Drosophila melanogaster: one gene and its partners. The protein of the gene in region 2 binds, or shares a complex with, the protein of the main gene of each other region. Each region holds a gene or a part of one and is shown on either strand. Other genes may lie near its edges. The genes, in order: MED21, MED9, MED19 and MED7.

What was found.
Region 1: MED9 (region 2) and MED21 share a complex: the UniProt entries of both Drosophila melanogaster proteins name them as parts of the mediator complex.
Region 3: MED9 (region 2) and MED19 share a complex: the UniProt entries of both Drosophila melanogaster proteins name them as parts of the mediator complex.
Region 4: MED9 (region 2) and MED7 share a complex: the UniProt entries of both Drosophila melanogaster proteins name them as parts of the mediator complex.

The regions. Positions count from the first base shown.
Region 1 is NT_037436.4:25,114,158-25,118,487, reverse strand, and holds MED21 (mediator complex subunit 21), read left to right. Parts: upstream 1-2,541; 5' UTR 2,542-2,659; exon of another isoform or gene 2,660-2,763; 5' UTR 2,764-2,784; coding exon 2,785-2,826; intron 2,827-2,882; coding exon 2,883-3,269; 3' UTR 3,270-3,564; downstream 3,565-4,330. Other genes in the region: Set1 (SET domain containing 1), read right to left, coding at 3,591-3,764, 3,821-4,330. UniProt on the Drosophila melanogaster protein: Component of the Mediator complex, a coactivator involved in the regulated transcription of nearly all RNA polymerase II-dependent genes.
Region 2 is NT_033778.4:18,165,266-18,169,762, forward strand, and holds MED9 (mediator complex subunit 9), read left to right. Parts: upstream 1-1,989; 5' UTR 1,990-2,051; coding exon 2,052-2,257; intron 2,258-2,392; coding exon 2,393-2,456; intron 2,457-2,507; coding exon 2,508-2,672; 3' UTR 2,673-2,700; coding exon of another isoform or gene 2,701-2,873; intron 2,874-2,942; coding exon of another isoform or gene 2,943-3,027; 3' UTR 3,028-3,115; downstream 3,116-4,497. Other genes in the region: Nup75 (nucleoporin 75kD), read right to left, coding at 1-85, 153-498, 560-1,722, 1,780-1,806; CG42518 (uncharacterized protein), read left to right, coding at 2,701-2,873, 2,943-3,027; Dgp-1, read right to left, coding at 3,760-4,497. UniProt on the Drosophila melanogaster protein: Component of the Mediator complex, a coactivator involved in the regulated transcription of nearly all RNA polymerase II-dependent genes.
Region 3 is NT_037436.4:17,842,748-17,848,725, forward strand, and holds MED19 (mediator complex subunit 19), read right to left. Parts: upstream 3,755-5,978; 5' UTR 3,445-3,754; coding exon 3,007-3,444; intron 2,148-3,006; coding exon 2,033-2,147; intron 1,968-2,032; coding exon 1,507-1,967; 3' UTR 978-1,506; downstream 1-977. Other genes in the region: CG5567 (uncharacterized protein), read right to left, coding at 528-669; CG7430 (uncharacterized protein), read left to right, coding at 4,450-4,491, 4,800-5,327, 5,391-5,978. UniProt on the Drosophila melanogaster protein: Component of the Mediator complex, a coactivator involved in the regulated transcription of nearly all RNA polymerase II-dependent genes.
Region 4 is NT_033777.3:10,758,956-10,762,932, forward strand, and holds MED7 (mediator complex subunit 7), read right to left. Parts: upstream 2,078-3,977; 5' UTR 1,979-2,077; coding exon 1,649-1,978; intron 1,588-1,648; coding exon 1,255-1,587; 3' UTR 1,116-1,254; downstream 1-1,115. Other genes in the region: CG31272 (uncharacterized protein), read right to left, coding at 189-234; Cap-H2 (chromosome associated protein H2), read left to right, coding at 2,628-2,661, 2,889-3,070, 3,292-3,494. UniProt on the Drosophila melanogaster protein: Component of the Mediator complex, a coactivator involved in the regulated transcription of nearly all RNA polymerase II-dependent genes.

The DNA of each region.
Region 1 (4,330 bases), on a different chromosome or scaffold from region 2:
TACAACGCAACCATGCATACATTGCTTTCGTTTCGGGGCAATTCGATGATCGAGCACCCTTACCTTCAACTAACTCGAAAAACAAGCTTTTGCTCTCGCGGAGCGAAAAGACCGCCTCTCCTACACCGCTCCCCACACAGCCACAATCGAACATTCCGGGTAACTGTAACACTGCAATAACAAGTGCAGTGACCTCCCTAGAAACTGTCACTGCTACCACAACAACAACTTCGTTAGCGGCCCAACTAATCGCTGTGCCAGCTGTAAATAATTCTGCAACACCGACCATTGGCAACAACAATAATGGACGTAAAAAAAGAACCAAAACAAAAGCAGAAGGCGATTGCCAAGAATACGGCCACACCAAGGCATACTGCTGTGTGGTTTAACGTATAGCAAATACATACAACAAAGTCAATTTCTGCTCTCCGCATTCGATGTTTCAACCACCCTTAACTGTCCCAAGCACTACTCTTGGAATTTTCTTCGCTAGCGCCTTAAAATCCGGACTAGAAGTCCCCGCCTCACCGACTAGAACTGCTCATTCCGAACATAAATTGACAAATATGCAACAAACTGAACAAAGTGGCATTGAAGCTATGATGCTATCCCTACAGAAAAGCATGAAATATTTCATAACGATCAAAACGTGCAAAATTTCCTGATACAACTTCTTGTATCTTCAAAATCCCCATGCTGGCTTCCCTACGGATATCTATTCACTTCATACACAAGAACTCACACAGTTCATTACCGAAAAAAACACTGGAGTAATGCTACTATCAGAAACGCACCTCACAAATCATTCAGATGGTAAAGCTCTTGGAGGCACTGGCATACTAATCAGAAATCGCATAAAAACCACCTCAATCTACGTCCATAGTCTAACTACTCAACAATGGTTCAATGACTCTAGCCGCAGTCTACTGCCCACCACGCTATCCAATACATACTGACCAGCAGACCCAAGAAAAATCCCAGACCCAGATCACACATAGAACTAACGCCGGCATTATCTGCTAAGGAAAATATAGACAAGTCAACGGACACTGTTGAAAATATTCTAGTTTCGGGTGCAAAGTGACGTATGCCCACCAGCACTAAGAACCTTTTGTAGAGAAAAGACAGTGATGAGAAAAGAGCCAGAGCAGTTGCTGACCACTTACAAATTTTATTTCTACCAAATCCTGCTATAAAGTCATTATTCTCCCTCCTTTAGCAGAAGCAAACTTAGATTATGTGAATTAGCAAAGGTTATCAAAAAGCAACTGAAGCGATTTTGGCTTCGACCTAATAACTCAAAAAATCCTTATTGAACTCCCAGTGTGATGTTCTGCACATGTGCTTGTTGTTCAACGCAATCGCCAAGCATGGATACTTCCCTCAAAAATGGAAAAAATCTACCATAGTAATGATTCCAATGCCAGGAAAAGATAAAACGCAGCCATCATCATATAGACCGATACAGTAACTAACTTATCTCTAAAATTTATTTGAAAAAATGCTACTCCTGGGAATAAGCCCTCGTCATGGAAAAAACATGGAACCATCGAACAGGCCAATCGAATCACGTCAGAAATTCGTACTGCTTTTGAGCATCGAGAATATTACACAGCCATTTTACTAGACGTCGCGCAGGCATTTGACAGTGTTTCTGGATGGACTTTTGCTTAAACTAGCCAAGCTATTGTTCCAAAACATACATAAGCTACTGAAGTCGCAATAAGATGCAAGGAACCTTCACTGGCTCATGCTCGCTCTCCACTTAGCGTGGAGTTCAAAGCTCTCCTATACAACTCCGTCTTAAAACCAATCTGGACTTATGGCTCCGACCTGTGGGGCATCCATTCAGCGAGAACAGCCAACAATTCTGAGAATTCTGACTAGAGCGTGATACCTTCGGAACGAAGACATACACAGAGAGAAAAAAATCAAATTATTTATCGAAATAATAACTGAGAAGAAAATTAAAATACCTAGTAAAACTGACCACCCATTCAAATCCCCTCACAAGAAAACTAATCGGAGGCACAAAGTGTTCGTATCATAAAATCTTTGTTGCTTTTAAAAACCTTTAAAAAACAAGAGAGGTAGCTTTAAAATTTTTCATATGACATCTTTAAGATATGGTGAACCGATTTAGATATGTTAAAAATTAAAAGAATAATTATCGTGAAAAAGGGTACGGCTGTTCTTACTGATATTTATACCCACTTAATTGGACTGAAATGCTTTTTTCACTTCGTTGCAAGCTTATAACTGAAATCGATATACCCTCCTCAAGGATATACCAAGATTGTGTGAGAGAGGTTGCAGACTACTTGGAGACCAACTGCTTCCTTGTTATAACCGAAATTGTGATGATTTTGAACAAGACAAGAGGGATCGATGTGCAACGTGTGGTCATATATTATGGAGATTCCACTGTTTCCGACAATCTTATGGTAGTTTATATCGTTGGAATGAAGACATTATTATGGCACAGTGTGAACAAGAATAATTCGTCTCATTGAAAGAAATCACGTTTTAGTGTGGAACTCATATTAATAGCATTTCTTTTTTTAAGAGAATAGTCGCTGCTGTGAGGTATCTGTAAATAAGACATAAAATCAATCGATAAATAAATGCTTATATATTATAAAAATCACCAACGGTCATTGTATGTTGATATTATGTTGATTATGTTATGTTGATATTAAAAATGTTAATCAAAATTTGAACTGGCTAATCAAACTTAATTCCATATAATTTTTTGTTTTTCAGAATTATTAACTCTGTAGTAAAATGGCGGATCGGCTTACACAATTGCAAGACACCGTTAATCAGGTAAGTGACTTCGTATTAAGAAATAACCAGTTTTTTATGTAAAATAATCATTGCAGCAAGCGGAGCACTTCTGCAATGCTATTGGTGTAATTCAACAAACGTCCCTTCCAAGTAAATTTGTTAATTTTGAACGCATTGGACCCCAAACGCCAATCCCATGTCCGCCGCAAGAAGACTATGCCCAATTATTTGCACAGTTAATTGCACGATGTGCTAAAGACATCGACACCTTAATCGAGTCTCTTCCAAATGAAGACAGCTCCATTGAACTCCAAAATTCTAGCCTTAAGAGGCTCGAGATCGAAAACCAGGGAACTGCAAGAGACCTAGAGGAAGTAGTGCAAAAAGGCGAACTTTTGCTAGAAAAAATGCAGTATTCTTTGGAATGCATTGCTCAGGCTCAATTAGATATGCAAATAACACTCAAACATGATTTACAATAGCTGCTTAACACATTTTTGTATAAAGGCAAATTATTTTTAAATTTAAGATAATGTATTTATTGCATTTTCGTTCGTGTTTACAGATCAAATGGGTTTTAGTATATACATATTGTTTTTATAAGTAAAGTATTTTAGCTTAATTTAGACCTAAACCATTTTGAACAGCACCTCTGACCTCGTTGATATAATTTTTATAATAATTAATTATAGTTTTAAGTTATAAAAAAAACTATATATACTTACACGTACCCCACTTTGGATTTTATGAACAAATTAAATTTATGTGCTCTAAAATATTTAATTCATTGTTGTAAATAAGTATTAGTTAAGTGTACCCCGACATCCTTGGGCGCCGCATAGACAAGGTATTTTTTCGTCTTCTAGTGGAAATTTATAGTCGTAAGTTATTTCCTCGTTGATACCAATGGGTTGCTTTGAATATATTACTATCTTCTTTTCAGATTCAATAGTTATAACCTTAGCGTAGCAATTCGGCTGAAAAACAAAATTTTATGTTGGTAACATAATGTCAGAACATCCAGCTTACTTACATTGCAACTGTGATTTATAAACCGAGCTAAGTTTCCACATTTAGTTGCGTCAATTATAGTTTCCATGTCAATTCGAAACAAATAGGAACTCCCAATCCCAATTGCTTCATACTTTGTTTCTCTTAGATCAGCAACTACAGGTCGAATCATCTGACCAACATATTCAATAACCATTTCGTCTGCAGCTATGGGCTCCATTGCAAATAATCCCCAATCATGTATCGCAGATTTTGCAAACTTAAGCTGTTTCTTCCGAAACTTTAGCTGATTAAATTTTAAAAGCTCAGACTCACCCATAGAACCAAAGGCTGTTAAAAGTCTTCTCTGGTTTGAGCGAGCTTCGCGGGAAATTCCTTGCATTTTAGAAATTAATTTATTGTGATGATGATTTGTAAGTGCTGTAGGTTCATCGCTCCGATCTTCATTAAAGGAATCTTCTGTATTGGCTTTAGCATAATGGTACTTATGCTTAGCCTTTTCTCGAACATCTAATTTGTAAAATCCTTCAGT
Region 2 (4,497 bases):
ACACCAAGCGCGGTGAGGCAAACATTCGGCCACCGACATTGGCAATGGTGTCCGGGCAAAGCATGCAGCCAGTTTTCGAGTAATGCTATGCCACAGATCAATATACAAATCAAATTGAATGAAATACTTATGCAAAAATAGTTTATATTTACCTTTAAAATAAAGTCAGCTACCGCCGTAACCAGCAGCACATCCTTGGAGCGAATGGCCCATTCCAGGGCGTTTCCATAACGCTCGTTATCGTAGGATCGCTTTGAAAGCACCTTGCAGATCTCCCGTTCTACGCTTATGAGCCCGCGCTGCCTGGCCAGGTTAATAAGCTTGGTGGCTTGCCGCTCGCTGCGCAAAGTGATTCGGGGCAAAAGCAGCTCGATAGCCGCCTGACCCTCCTGCTTGCAACAGTCCAGATAGTCGATGCCCAGTTGCCACATATTGTGGGACGTCATCAGATAGCTGCCGTACTCATAGATCATTGAGTGACGCAGGGCCGGAAGATCGCTGTGGGTGCATAAAATATATAGCATATTGATTGAACATAACTTCTGACAAAAAAACTCACATGTTGTTCTGATCGAAATAGCTCTTCAGCTGACCACAATGATGGATAAGATCAATCAAATGCGTTGAGAACCAGTGTGTGTCGTTAAGTTTTTGAGCATCGTATATAAATAGTCTAAGATCGTGATCCATAAGCTGAGAAACCATGCGGTTCATGCTGCACTGCTCTCTTTCCGGCCGGAGAAGACACCATCGGTTTAGCCATTTGGCTGCCGCTATTTTCAGCTCAAAGGGTTTGCAGGTGGGCTTGGTAAAGAGCAGGTATCCTGGCAGGTATTCATAGAAATCCTGGGACTCTTTGATGCCAGCATCCCACTGCTCGCTGTCGCCGGCGACCAGACGAATCAACTGCTCCAGCTCCGGCTCCGTGGCAAATAAGCCGGACTGAATCTTGCGTTCCGTATCCACGTGCCAGAACTCCCACTGCGAGTGAAACTTCTGCAGGGCATAGCCCTCTTGATACACTGGCATGGACTTCAGGATCTGTTCGGCCGCCTTGAAGCTCGTTTGTCCAGCTTTGCGATTCTGCGAGAGAACTGCTCTCGTAACATCTATTTCGCCCAGCATAATGAGTGATTTGACAATGCTCCAATAGTCATCAGATTCGCTGGCCTCCTCTCCCATGAGCAGTAGATCCGTGGCTCTGTCCTCTGCGTGCGGCGAGTGGAAACGCGCCCAGTCGAGCAGCTGCGGCACCACCAGCTGATTGCTCTGAATGTACAGAATCTCGAAGAGATGCCACAGGCATTCTGCCGCATAGAACACAACGATGGCATCACATAAGCGTTGCAGGCGCGCCTCATCTGTCTGAACCTCCGGCGATTTTTTTGCCTGCTCCAGCTTCTCCAGGCATGAGCGCACAATGCTCCTGTATGCCCGGGATATATTCACATACTCGGCACGTGTGGCCCGCGAACCCAACTGTTGCAGCGTGGCGAACGTGGCATTCGCCTCGGCGAGTACGCTGCGGAGAACGGGTTCGTCGAACAGCGTCGACTCCTGCGCCATGTAGATGAGCACCGGAACCTGTCCAGCATTCTCTGTGGGCTCATCCCGCGAACTGTGCGTCACATGCCGGTAGGCGCTGAGTGCGATTCGTGAGCCCGGCACAAAGACGCCAGTGAGTGTATTGCCACAGCGTGTGGCTAGGTCATCGCCAAGCTCCTAGATAGATTAAACGAGGTTTAATCTATTGAGTTTTTTATTTGTGCAGCTACTTACGAAGGCGAAAACACCGCTGTCGCTCATGTTGGCTTTATGTTTTTCTTCTTTATAAATTCTAAACGATTCGTTGCTTGTTATCGATAAGCAGAGGCGGCATTTGCCTGGCTCTATCGGTCTATCGTACTTCGATAGCAGGTTGTGCATCTACTACTTTTCCCTTTAGTATATTAATCGAATTAAGAGAATGTGAGGGCATTACTTTGGTATTATTACGTGTTGTCGGTAAGGTCCTATTGATTCTGACGCTGGAAATTCGATTCGTGTTTTTTATGATGGATTTGTCGCCAAACAATCAGATCGAGGACAGAAAACCCATCCTAACCGCCGACGGCCTGGTTCAGACTTCGAACTCCCCCTTCGAGCCGACCATATCGCAGGAGACGCAAACATCCAACGGAATCGGCGGCCAGTGCCATCTGACGGTTGACCAGTTGGACATTGAGATTCTGCCGATAATCTACGACATTGTGCGCTGGTGAGTGGTCATCGCGGATGCGGATTCCGGGTGTCATTGCCCCTGCACGGACAATGCCGAAAATCGGCGGATTTTAGCAACAAGTGCGCAATTAATGCCGCACCTTATATAACCTGGCGTCTTTGTGTCTTTCAGCGTGGAAAAGGATCCTCTGGAGAACGCCGTTAAGCTGCGCGAGTCCCAGGATTGCAACCACAAGGTGAGTCCTTGGTTCGTCATAAGTTGCCACCGCTATATACTTGATTTGTAGATCTTTGAACTTCAAAAACGCTTCGAATCGGCACGCGAGCAAATCCGCCAGCTCCCCGGGATCGATTTCAATAAGGAGGAGCAGCAACAGAGACTGGAACTACTGCGAAATCAGCTGAAGCTTAAGCAGCAGCTAATTCGCAAATACAAGGACACAGAGTTCTAGGCGGCAGCAAAATAAAAAAAAGGGCAAGATGGTGCTGCGACTGCTAATGCGCTACCTGGCCAACAACGAGCAGCTCATCCAGCGCATGGCGGAGAGCTATCCCATGAGACGCGCTGCCCAGTTGGTCGTTTCCCTGATGTACCGCACAAAAGACTTGGCCCGGGAGCAGGGACTGCACGAGATGACGCCAGAGCGTTTCAAGTGAGTGAAAGAATCGCCAGAATCATCTGGCTGAATCCGCCAATCTGACATGCATTTTCCAAATTGTAGATCCTTCGTTAACATGTTTAAGAACAACGTGCGCCAAGAGCTGGAGGGAGTGAAGAAGGAGCTTAATAGCAAGAAAAAGAACTAGGGTTCAGTAATTAACTTGTTTAACTACAATTGTATATACGCGGCAAGATAAATTTTAGTAAACACAGATGAATAAACATTGAAGCCAGAACATTATCTTCGGTGAATGAACCTTATTTTTGTAGAATAGGAAATTGCTTTTATTAAGGTAATTAGGAAACAAAGAAATCCTTATTCATTGCCATTTTATCTTAACACTTAAAAACAAAAGAGAACTTCAGATTGTCATTCTGAAACTATCGTTTTACAAAAAAATCAAATAATAACCTAATGTCTGCATTTACAACGCTTTCAACGTAATTTGCGTCAGCAAATTTGTTTTCATTTTCAGTTTGCATAGACATTAAACTCATCTTAAACTATAAGATTTTAATTTAAGATTCCAATTTATAAAGTCGTGTCTATTTAAGTTTATCGAGAGATAATTTAATATCATGTACACAAGTAGCATCTGGTTCAACCTGCGTTTATTCAGTGAAAAGACAAATGAAATCCATGCTGCAGTGACGTCGGTTGTCTTAAGTCTAGTGAACAAACAAAATATAGAATTTGGTTTGGCATATAGCACAATGTACAGTGGACAAGAACGGGACACGAAATAGTTTATTGGGGCACATGCCACTTTAGATTAGAAGGTCGCAAAATAAATTCATCCAATTATCTTTAAGAATTTGAAAAAAAAATACTTTAGTTTACAAAACTAGAAAGAGCCAAAACATGCAGGCGGCGCACTTCACTCGGTGAGAGCGGCCGGTGTGACTTCAACCGAGGACGACGACGAAGGATTCTCGCCGAGGGGCAGACCCAAAGAGGCCGAGCCATTGGATGGATCCACCCCAACGCCGCCGGACGGAGTCGGGCGATTATTTCTTTTCCGCTTGCCACCTCGCCGGCTGCCACCCTCGCGCTTGTCGCCGTTCTGCTTCTCGTCGGCGTTGTCCTTGCTGCATCCGGCGCCCGAGGAGCTGCCCTGGCCCTGCTGGCGGTGCTGGTTGTTACTGCCGTTGCTGCCGCCGTTATGTGAGCGCGACTGCATCTTGGCGGGCTTGGGGCGATATGGGCTAGCGGCAGCATTCGGTAGCGGACGCAGTATATTGCCAACAGCCTTGGTGCGTCCCTCGCGAAAGACCAGGCGCTGACCGGCGCGTATGTACTCCGGCTGCTTGATGAACCGGAATTTCACATGTGCCTTGTCGCCTGTTCGCAGGCAGTCGCGCGACATGTGTATGATTGAGGCCGTCTGGCGGATGCTGCCGCAGTGGACCATGGCCTGGTAGCGCGCCGATATCGTCGTCGGATGGTGGAGCACTAGTATCTCTCCCTCGAACTCCCAGCAGGCTTGCGGTTTGAGATCCTGCGACACCATTACCATGCCCTTGCGCAGATAGGCGCGCTTTATTTTCTTTAACGCAAAGCTTGCTGTTTGGCCACAGCGCACGCGTGCCACGTTCATGCGCTTGCGATGGATGCT
Region 3 (5,978 bases), on a different chromosome or scaffold from region 2:
TGATAAATTAATCATTCAAAGGCAAAGAGGACAGTTTGAAATTAATTCCAATTAAGTAAATTGGTAACTTCGCAAAGATACATAAACGAAAAGAAATAAAAGCTGTTATGATTAAAGAAGGCATTATTGCATAAAATTAATAAATAATGGGGTTGAACACAACTTTTGATATTGCGTATATAATAACGATTTCCTTGAATTGATAAGATTGTCTAATATTAATAAACTTAGGGCTCATCACTATGAGCATTAGGGAATTTATCAAACGGCTCTTTACTGCTTTACTCTTTACTAAATATAACGATGATTAACAAGATATGAGGGCATCCGAAAGTCGACTTCCCGCCATATCACGCACTTCACTCTTTGACATTGAAATAAACGACGCAGCCACAATACAGAAACTATTGGCTGCTGACGTATTTGGGCAGAATGTGGTATACACATATCTTTATGTAACGCAACTTCCTGGGGGGAATCCTGGGTGGGTGCGAGTTAGTAGTATCTCATCCCCACCACCGACTTACCATCGCAGTCGGTTATTACACTGTCGAAGCCTGCTAGCCACTCGGTCACCTTGGCGGAGGATAATTCCAGGAGATTGGTGCACGACTGCTTGTACATGTTGATAGCTGCCTGTCGCGAAAATCTGGCGAAGTTACAACTCATCTATGGCTTTGCAGCGACGACTATCTTATACACATCACTTTTAATTTATTAATTGACTCTCGATTGCGAGAAACTCCCTGAGAATTAAAGCAGCTGTTGGCGCCTGTTAAGGCTATGTTACTATCTGTCAGATTTCAGCGTAGCTGTTAATGCGCCATGTTAAAGTCAACAGAGTGCTAACAAGTGTTTGGCGCCAAATTTGAATTTAAGGGCTCCTTGGAAGCAGAACTTCTGTGCAACAAATGCTTATATTCGAAAAATGAACTAAGCTCCCCAAACTATTGTAAACACACACTTTGATCATTTTTATGCTTGTTTATTGTTTTATGTGCCTAATCACTAAAATTAATTACTTATAGTACAGGCATTTTTATTTTGTTGAATCTCAGCTTTCTTTTGTGTTTATAAACTTGCTGGAAGAACAAACCATTGCAGAAATTTAATTGAAATACTGACCCTACACACGTTACAAGGTTGGTAAGCAAATTAAAGAGGTTGCAAAGCAGCGTTTTTGTGGCGGCGTGGCGAGGGGTGTGTTTGTGTGGAGGGAAGAGCTGGAATCGAGAGCGAAAACGTTCTTGCGTTTTGTACCATAACTTGCGTTTAAATAAATCTCATTAAGCTAGCGCGAAAACGAACGAAAAATTGTTGGCTAATTACAGAAATAAACTATTTTACATTTACAATAATCATAAATTAATAACTAGGACACGAAACGATATCGAGAAAATTGCATGTAGAGGACCGAGGCCCTCTGCGTTTTTTTTATGTTGCCATTTGGGGTGCGTCTGCTGATGAGAGGTAATGAGCCAAGTCTATTTTGCTAAAGGATCCTGCCTAAAACTGCGACATAAGCAGACTCCCACCGACGCCGCCCCCGCCACCACCTCCTCCTCCGCCGCCGCCACCTGGACCGCCACTAGTGCCCAGCACAGATCCCAGCAGACCGCCACTTGACATCTGCTGTTGCTGCATGGGCATCTGCTGTTGCTGCTGCATCTGCATCGATGAGGAGAAGCTATTCATGTTCCCCACAACGCCAGGTCCCATACTGGCACTAAGGCTGGACAGCCCGGGTCCTCCAGGTCCTCCTCCCAGCGATCCCAGACTAGTGGCTCCCATTACACCCGCTGCTCCGCCCAAGCTCGCTCCTCCGGGCAGCAAGCCCACGCCCGGTTCGGGGCTCTGGTTTTTCTTTTTACGCTTTTTCTCCTTTTTGCGCTTCTTGCGCTCCTTGTCGTCCTCATGGCGTTTCTGCTTCTTGTGCTTTTTCTCGTAAGTCTCCAGGCCGGCCGAGTCTGCAAGATGGTTATCATTGGATTATGTGTGATCGAGTTGCTCGATAATTCAGCAGATTGCTTACCGAGCAGCGTGGATTCCTGTCCCGTGGTCACCCCGTCTTTGTGTTTTTGCTTTTTGTGTTTGTTTTTGTGTTTACGCGCAGGTGTGACATATGTGGTACGATACTGTTCCGGCAGCTGAAAGGAGCACCAGAATCGGATAAATTAGCAATGTGAAAGTGCAGAGGAAAAAAATAATATATTTTATGCAATTTGTTCTAGTAACGATTTATCCATTGTTTGAAATATATGACATGTAAAAAATATTTCACGAAACCTTTTAAGATGAATTATTATTATTATTAGATTGCATATAGGGTGAAAGAAAACTCTCAATAATATTAAATGCCAATATTTCAATAACAAGAAAGGAAGGACAATCCGTCAACAAGGAAGGTTAGTTTTTTTTTTTTTTTTGAATATCATAATATTAAACCATATGGCAGCAATATGAATTAGTGGCCTAAACTGGCGCGTTCTGATTTATGCACTACTTGCAACAAAAATTTAAAACTGAAAGAAAACGGGCAGGCGGACATGGCCTTATCGACTCAGCTGTTCATATAGATCACTGCGTTGCGAACTACTGACTTAATATACACTGTTCAAAAGAGGTTTAAAGGGAAAACCAACATTTACACTCTTGTTAATTTAAGTAATTTTTGTGATTAATGACTAAAATATTTGTGTTTCAAATTTGTTGTTGAACATAAGGAAAATGAATTACAACTCTAAAATACTACGGTGATTATAGAAATAAGTGACAGAAAAGGTGCGACCAAATAACACTTTATAGTAGATCAGTCTGTGCAAGGACACTTAAATCCAAATTTCATATGCAAATTTTAAAAAGCGAAATTAATGCATGCAAATGTATAGAGACGCAAAGCATTGAATAGCGTCTAAATGTATTCTAAGATGTTCAATGTGCCGTATCTAAAGATTCGTCATTTTTCAAACTGAGCAAGCGAATTAAAAGCATATTGGAAAAACCAACCGGTCCGGGATGCAAGCGGAATCCGGCCAGCTGCACGGGAGTCAGCGGAAGAAGCTCCTTTCCACCAATGGGCGGCTTTTCGATCACGCTCCGCAGCGTGCTATTCTCCACGGGATGCGTGATGAGGTCGTTAATGCCGGGGATGTTCTGCAGAAACGAGGCCAGCGACTCCTTGAACTTCTTCTCCTTGAACTTGGTGAGTGTGTGGTGCAGTCCGTACTCGGTCATGAGATCCTTGTCGCCGGTAAGTTCTGCCTTGGCGGGTGGTTCCTTCATGGAGTAAAATGGCCCCGTGTGAATGATCGTTGGCGTCTTGCCCAGCGAAATGGTCGTTTTCAGGGTGCCGGATGAGTCTTGACGGGCCACCACGGGTGATCGGCCGCCGCCGTGGGGCGATGACTTCGGTGAGTCCATCATGTTGCCGTAGTTGCTCATCATCTTGGAAACTCAGCGATTCTCTTCACTCTTGGCAACCCACGCACACAATCGCACCGCACCGCACACGCTCACGCACACAGGGGCACAGCAACAAGGCAAGGCCAGCAGAAGGTGTCGCCTGTCGCGGCTCTCGGGCAACGCTGGCCAAGCTCACACTCTGCAAAATGCGCCGCGTCTGCCCGGCACTTCGGCTGACTCTTTTCTGGTCGAAAACTGAACTAATTATTTGCTCTTGTGGCGTTTTCTAACAGATTTCGGGGGCAAGTCTCGCCATCTTGTTGTGTCCGCGAACCAGTGTGACCGCATTGCGACAGCTAGCGAAATACTGAGGCTTCAACGAAAACGCGAGATGAACGCGACGTGAAAATACCAAAAGTGTTGTGGGAAATATCCCAGATGGGGAATACCACACAGGGTTGTACTGTAGGGCAAACTATCGAATATTCATCGTATAATACATTTTTAATTACCTATAGATATAATAAAGTTAATATTACTTTGGAACTCTTATTATATATGTATCGTATGTACGTTGAGTTATATATTTTTAAAACAGTTATTTTACAGTTTATTTATTACAGTTTATTTTATACGTACAAAAACATTAATTAATGGGTGCCAAAACTATAAAAGCCGGCTTACACGTATAGTTGGCTTGTTTTTAGGTAGCTTTTGCTACAACAAATGACCCATAAAGTGAATATTGTATAAACTAGCAATTGAGTGACGGACATATCGTATTTTGAACGATCATCAAGCTAATATTTTTATACACATCTTTTTCATACGAAAATGTTTTAGAATTTCAAATTCCAACAGAGTGGAAAATCACCAAAACAATCGATAGCATCGCGGCCATCATATGACCACTATCGAATGCACATCGCCAGCCCTGCGACCGCTCCGAGCCCCACAACACGAAAAACAGTCGGAAAAACACACATCAAACTAGTGTTGTGTTTGTAGTTAAATAACGATTATCCTCATAACTCGCCCGCACCAGCCATGCAATTCACGCTCCGTCATGTTGTTTCGGCAGTAGCCAAGGTAAGGATCGGGCGACATAACCGATTCCCCAAACGCCATCGCCCCTCAAGTTATGCAATCTAACCTCACCGAGGGGGTCGAGAAATGGGCAGGAAAAGGCTGGAAAATGCACTTGGATCACCTGCAGTGCTCATATGATCCCGGTGGGTGATTCACTGGCGTTTGGGGATTTGTTTGGCCCCGTTTTCAAGGTCGCTAATTAGGCCAATTATCAGCTGATAGTCGGCCGAAGATTAGTGCGAAATGCGTGCGACTGGCGTGATAAATGATAAGGTGCCACAACATGTAGTAATCTGCCGTCTTTACAGACTCCTCTGCGCACCAATGCCGCCATTCTGGGTGCCCTCAACGCCCGCTGCTACTCCAGCACCCACGAGGCGGACATCGTGGTGATTGGCTCCGGACCCGGTGGCTATGTCGCCGCCATCAAGGCCGCCCAGATGGGCATGAAGACGGTCAGCGTGGAGAAGGAGGCAACTCTGGGCGGCACCTGCCTGAATGTTGGCTGCATTCCCTCAAAGGCGCTGCTGAACAACTCCCACTACTACCACATGGCCCACTCCGGTGATCTGGAGAAACGTGGTATTAGCTGCGGCAGCGTTAGCCTGGATCTGGAGAAGCTTATGGGTCAAAAGTCCAACGCCGTGAAGGCTTTGACCGGTGGCATTGCCATGCTTTTCAAGAAGAACAAGGTCACACAGCTGACGGGCTTCGGCACCATCGTCAATCCCAACGAGGTGGAGGTTAAGAAATCCGACGGCTCCACGGAGACTGTCAAGACCAAGAACATCCTCATCGCCACCGGCTCGGAGGTTACCCCCTTCCCTGGCATTGAAGTAAGTGCAAAACCTCTACAGCGCGCTTGATTACTAATGCATGCCATTCAAAAACCTTCACAGATCGACGAGGAAGTTATTGTGAGCAGCACTGGCGCCCTGAAGCTGGCCAAGGTGCCCAAGCATCTGGTTGTCATCGGCGCCGGTGTCATTGGCCTGGAGCTGGGTTCGGTATGGTCGCGTCTGGGCGCTGAGGTCACTGCCATTGAGTTCATGGATACGATCGGCGGCGTGGGCATCGATAACGAAGTCTCCAAGACGTTCCAAAAGGTGCTCACCAAGCAGGGTCTTAAGTTCAAGCTGGGCACCAAGGTGACGGCTGCCTCTCGCAGCGGCGACAACGTCACCGTGTCCGTGGAGAACGCCAAGTCTGGCGAGAAAGAGGAGATCCAGTGCGACGCCCTGCTGGTCAGTGTTGGACGTCGTCCCTACACCGAAGGTTTGGGTCTGGAGGCCGTGGGCATTGTTAAGGATGACCGCGGCAGGATCCCCGTCAACGCCACTTTCCAAACTGTGGTGCCCAATATTTACGCCATCGGCGACTGCATCCACGGACCCATGTTGGCGCACAAGGCTGAAGATGAGGGCCTCATCACCATTGAGGGCATCAACGGCGGCCACGTGCACATCGACTACAACTGCGTGCCCAGT
Region 4 (3,977 bases), on a different chromosome or scaffold from region 2:
TTTTTCAGTGTCATAAAAGATTACGCTTAAATTTGTCACAATAAACACATTTCAGTTAATTTGCGACTGGTTATTACATGATACTTCTTAAAAACAATGCACTTTTTAAGGAAGCTCTGTTTTATTGGGTTTATAAGGTTTTTTCTACTCCATCGTAGTTAGTTGCCAATTATTTTTTAACCCTTTACCTTTGCTTTTCTCTGGAATCGCTGTTTTAATATTCTTTTCCGACATCTTAGCTATTACTGTTTGTCACCATGGGTTTTCACAATCGGCTTGCTCTTGAAATTGATTGTTCAATTAATACGATGCAGTTCTTAATTAAAAAGCGCAACCACAAGTTCTTTAAAAAATTAAGTTCAAAGTCAATGAGTTAAGGGTTTTCAAAATATTCCTATTCAACCGACTTGCACACTTGCAATGCTGCACGAGAAATGATCATCTAGAGCGCATGGCACCTCCTTTTATCGGAGATTACTTCAATAAAAGTGAAGATTCACTTAACTACATCTCTCTTATCGCGGGCTTTACAATCTAAGAAAGCTAATAAACGTATTAAACCATGTTTATTTAGAAAAACACGTTGGATTTTGTAAAGGGCACAGTGAGTTAAAAAAATTTTAGGGAAAACATTATACTCCAGTTGTGAATGAATATCTCTATTGACTTTTTAATCATGTTTATCAAACAAAATTAGTAATTTTGATGAAACTCCATACAAATTCATTAAAACCACATATGTATATGTACATTATGAAACGCACTGTACGAGCATATTTCGGCTAGCCACGATGATGCCATGCGGTAGCACCCATTAAAAGTAGGAAAACGTGTGAGGTGTTCATGTCTCATGTCATGTCACATGTCTTTACAATTTTTACAATTAAATATATACATTTATATTGTTATTCCTATCCTGAATAAATTGTTCTAGATAGATTATTAATTTATGACATTTGACTATATTATTACTCCACGCTGACTACGTCATTTTAATGGTGAAATTTGTGGGATGCTTAATCATGAGCCTTTATCTCGGATCTTATCTGTGTAAAGCTTATCTCAAAGATGACTTAACACATTAATTCCCATTGAATGAATTACTCATTAGACGTGCAAGATTCTCATCCCACAATTGGGGTTTTATTTCTTATACTAAAAGGAGTTATAAATATGAGGAGCTCTTTTTTCCAAGCCATTCACAATGATTGACACTATTTCCAGCGTCGATGTCCAGTCTTTTGCCAACTCAGCTTACTCGATAGCGTCCACAAGCTTGCACAACATGCGATCGTGCTGGTAACTGGGATCATTCTTGGCCGCCGCATTCGCCTCCAACGGATCCACCTCCGTCTTAATCTTTGCTCCGCCGCTATCGTCGTCATCATCTAGAACCGGCAGAGCTGAGAAGGCGGTATTAACGATCTCGCGCACACGTTCCAAGTGCTTTTGGAAACGGGCGGCGGTCTCAACGCGCTGCCGCTTCTGCATTTCCATCATGACGCGCAGCGTTTCCCTCGCCTGATGTGGGCGAAATTCATTGAGGAGGTGATGCATGTTGACGAACAGCAGACTGATATCGTCAATCTAAGATATCAAATGAGTGTAATACAATAGATGCTACATTTTAATGGGTCAATTGACTCACCTTTTCCGTGCGCCGCGGGCTGTCAGGATTCAGGATAAGAAAGTCAATGAGATCTAGGAAGTTGACCAAGAGGGAGTGGTTAAGCTTCTTGAGCTCCTTGCGCCGATCGAAATGGATGGGGATCAGTCGCTTAATATTCTGGGACTCCAAGCTGCGGATCATCTCGTCGTTGTTGTACTGGATGCCAAACATGCTATAGACTTCGTGCTGCGCCGGCGGCGGCGGTGGGCGTGGCGCTCGGTTGCGGCGGATATTCTCGTCCGTGTAATTGGCGATGTACCGCTCCGGCGGCATCGGCAGGCTGGAAACCTGGGTCTCCTGGTTGGACATTATGAGATTAACAAGTGCGGAAATACAAAAATAATAAATGATTTTTGTTTTGAAGAAGTGATGGCACCTGAGACAGGCGAATCACTCACGATAGTGATGACACTATCACTCAAATTGTTTTCTTAAAAATGAGCACACTAGAGGTTTGAAGCTAGACAATGCAATAATAAGCAGAATTTATTATAATATGTTTTGAGACACTGACAAATAATTTACAATTACAAAAATTAAATTAGATATTAATCGAGCTCGAAATAATAAATGATTCACCGTGCCTAGCTATCGATAACTTAAAGGTGACCATGCTTGCATGCACCCCCTACAGCATTGCCATAGCAATTTTTCTCCGTCTCTTCCCTCATTCGTCGGTAGAGCACAACAAAATAAGAAACACATATATATCTTGATGTGAATAGCTAATTGTTCCAGCACCGATTCGCGCCAATATTCCTGTTCCTGCCAAAGAAATGAAAACAAAACGTAAAACCATAACATAACTGGACCCAACTAAGAGACAAGCCGTGCTGCCTCCACCATTTTGATTTCCCCACTCAGCGTGTGTGCGTGCTTGCAGTGCTTGTGCACGATGCCAGTAAAATGTGCAAAACCGGACATAAAACAAACTTTTCCTAGTGTCATCTAGTGAGCCATGGAGCGGATTTTGCCTGAAGAAGCGGAAGCGGGTAAGCATCCAGAACTTAGGTAACCAACGCAGGACAGCCCCAGGCGTGATCTTCGTTTCCCATTGATTAAGTCAGCGCTATTTCCAGTATACCGCGTGTGTTGGTGCTTCTATGCGAGTGTGTGTGTGTGTGTATGGGGAGGGCCGAAATAAACAATAAAGCGGATCTGCGATTGGGTGTGTGGTTTTTGCTTAAGTAAATCCAATCGGTTTCTATTTAATTCACAGCCTACTTGAGCGAAGCGCGGGAGCAGATATTGGAAATAGCCAAGAATCGGCCGGGAACCCAAGTGGCCAAGTGCATCCGCGCCTACGATGAGCAACAGGACCTGGCCTCGCTAGTCGTCCTCCTCGAAGAGCTCTCCAAAAACACGGACTACTCCACGGACCTACGGATATCACTGGGATATGTGAGTGTTGAAGACCACTATTATCAAGATAAGCAAAACCGCCGAAGAGCAGAAAGATCAAAATAAAAGTGTGACGCAACGTGCGTGGGTTTTACAGTCATGCCTCGATAACTGGTATTTTAACTAAAATTATATAAATGGGTTTTCAAGAAAATCTATTATTTTATTTACAGTGAACACAAAAGCCTGCAGATCCTCAAATACATTGCTTATATTTTCAGTATATTGAAGAGCTACTGCGCCACTGCTTAGGACGAAATGATGTCTCTCGAAGATCGGCCATCGTGGCCGCAGGAAGTGCCCTCCAGTACTGCGGCAAGATCTATGGAGACCGAGTGGAGTACCTGTGCCAGGTGGTGGAGCACCAGATCGAAGCCCTGCTCACATCGGAGTTGCAGAAGGAGACCCCTAGCGGAAGTGCTGCGTAAGTTTAACTCAGAACTGAAGAGTTAAGAAGATGGAGAAAGACAAGGCCACGTGCTCCCCACTTGTCGCCATTGCTGGCTCTTTTCGGTCCAGAATTCCGCTTATCGAGCTTCACTTTACGCCCCCTTCGGCTTTGTTTGCATTAATATCACAGAAGCCGGCTTGCCGTTAATGGACGATAGGGCACGTTCTCGTGCTTCCAAAAACAAATAACAAACAGAGTATATAAAGAAATGAGAAATTAACCAGACAAGTGAAGCTAAAAACGTAGACAGTTCATTCATAAAAATAACAAGTTATTCAGAGATAGATCACATCCTAAATAAATATTTTTACATTATAATTCACTTAAATTCTTTCTTATCAGCCGGCATTAAAGAATTTGGGGAGATTATTTGACCTAAATGTTGAAAGTCTAATTAATTTTAAAGATAGCACCAGTATTTTGATTAAACATAAGATGATTTCATTATAATATTTA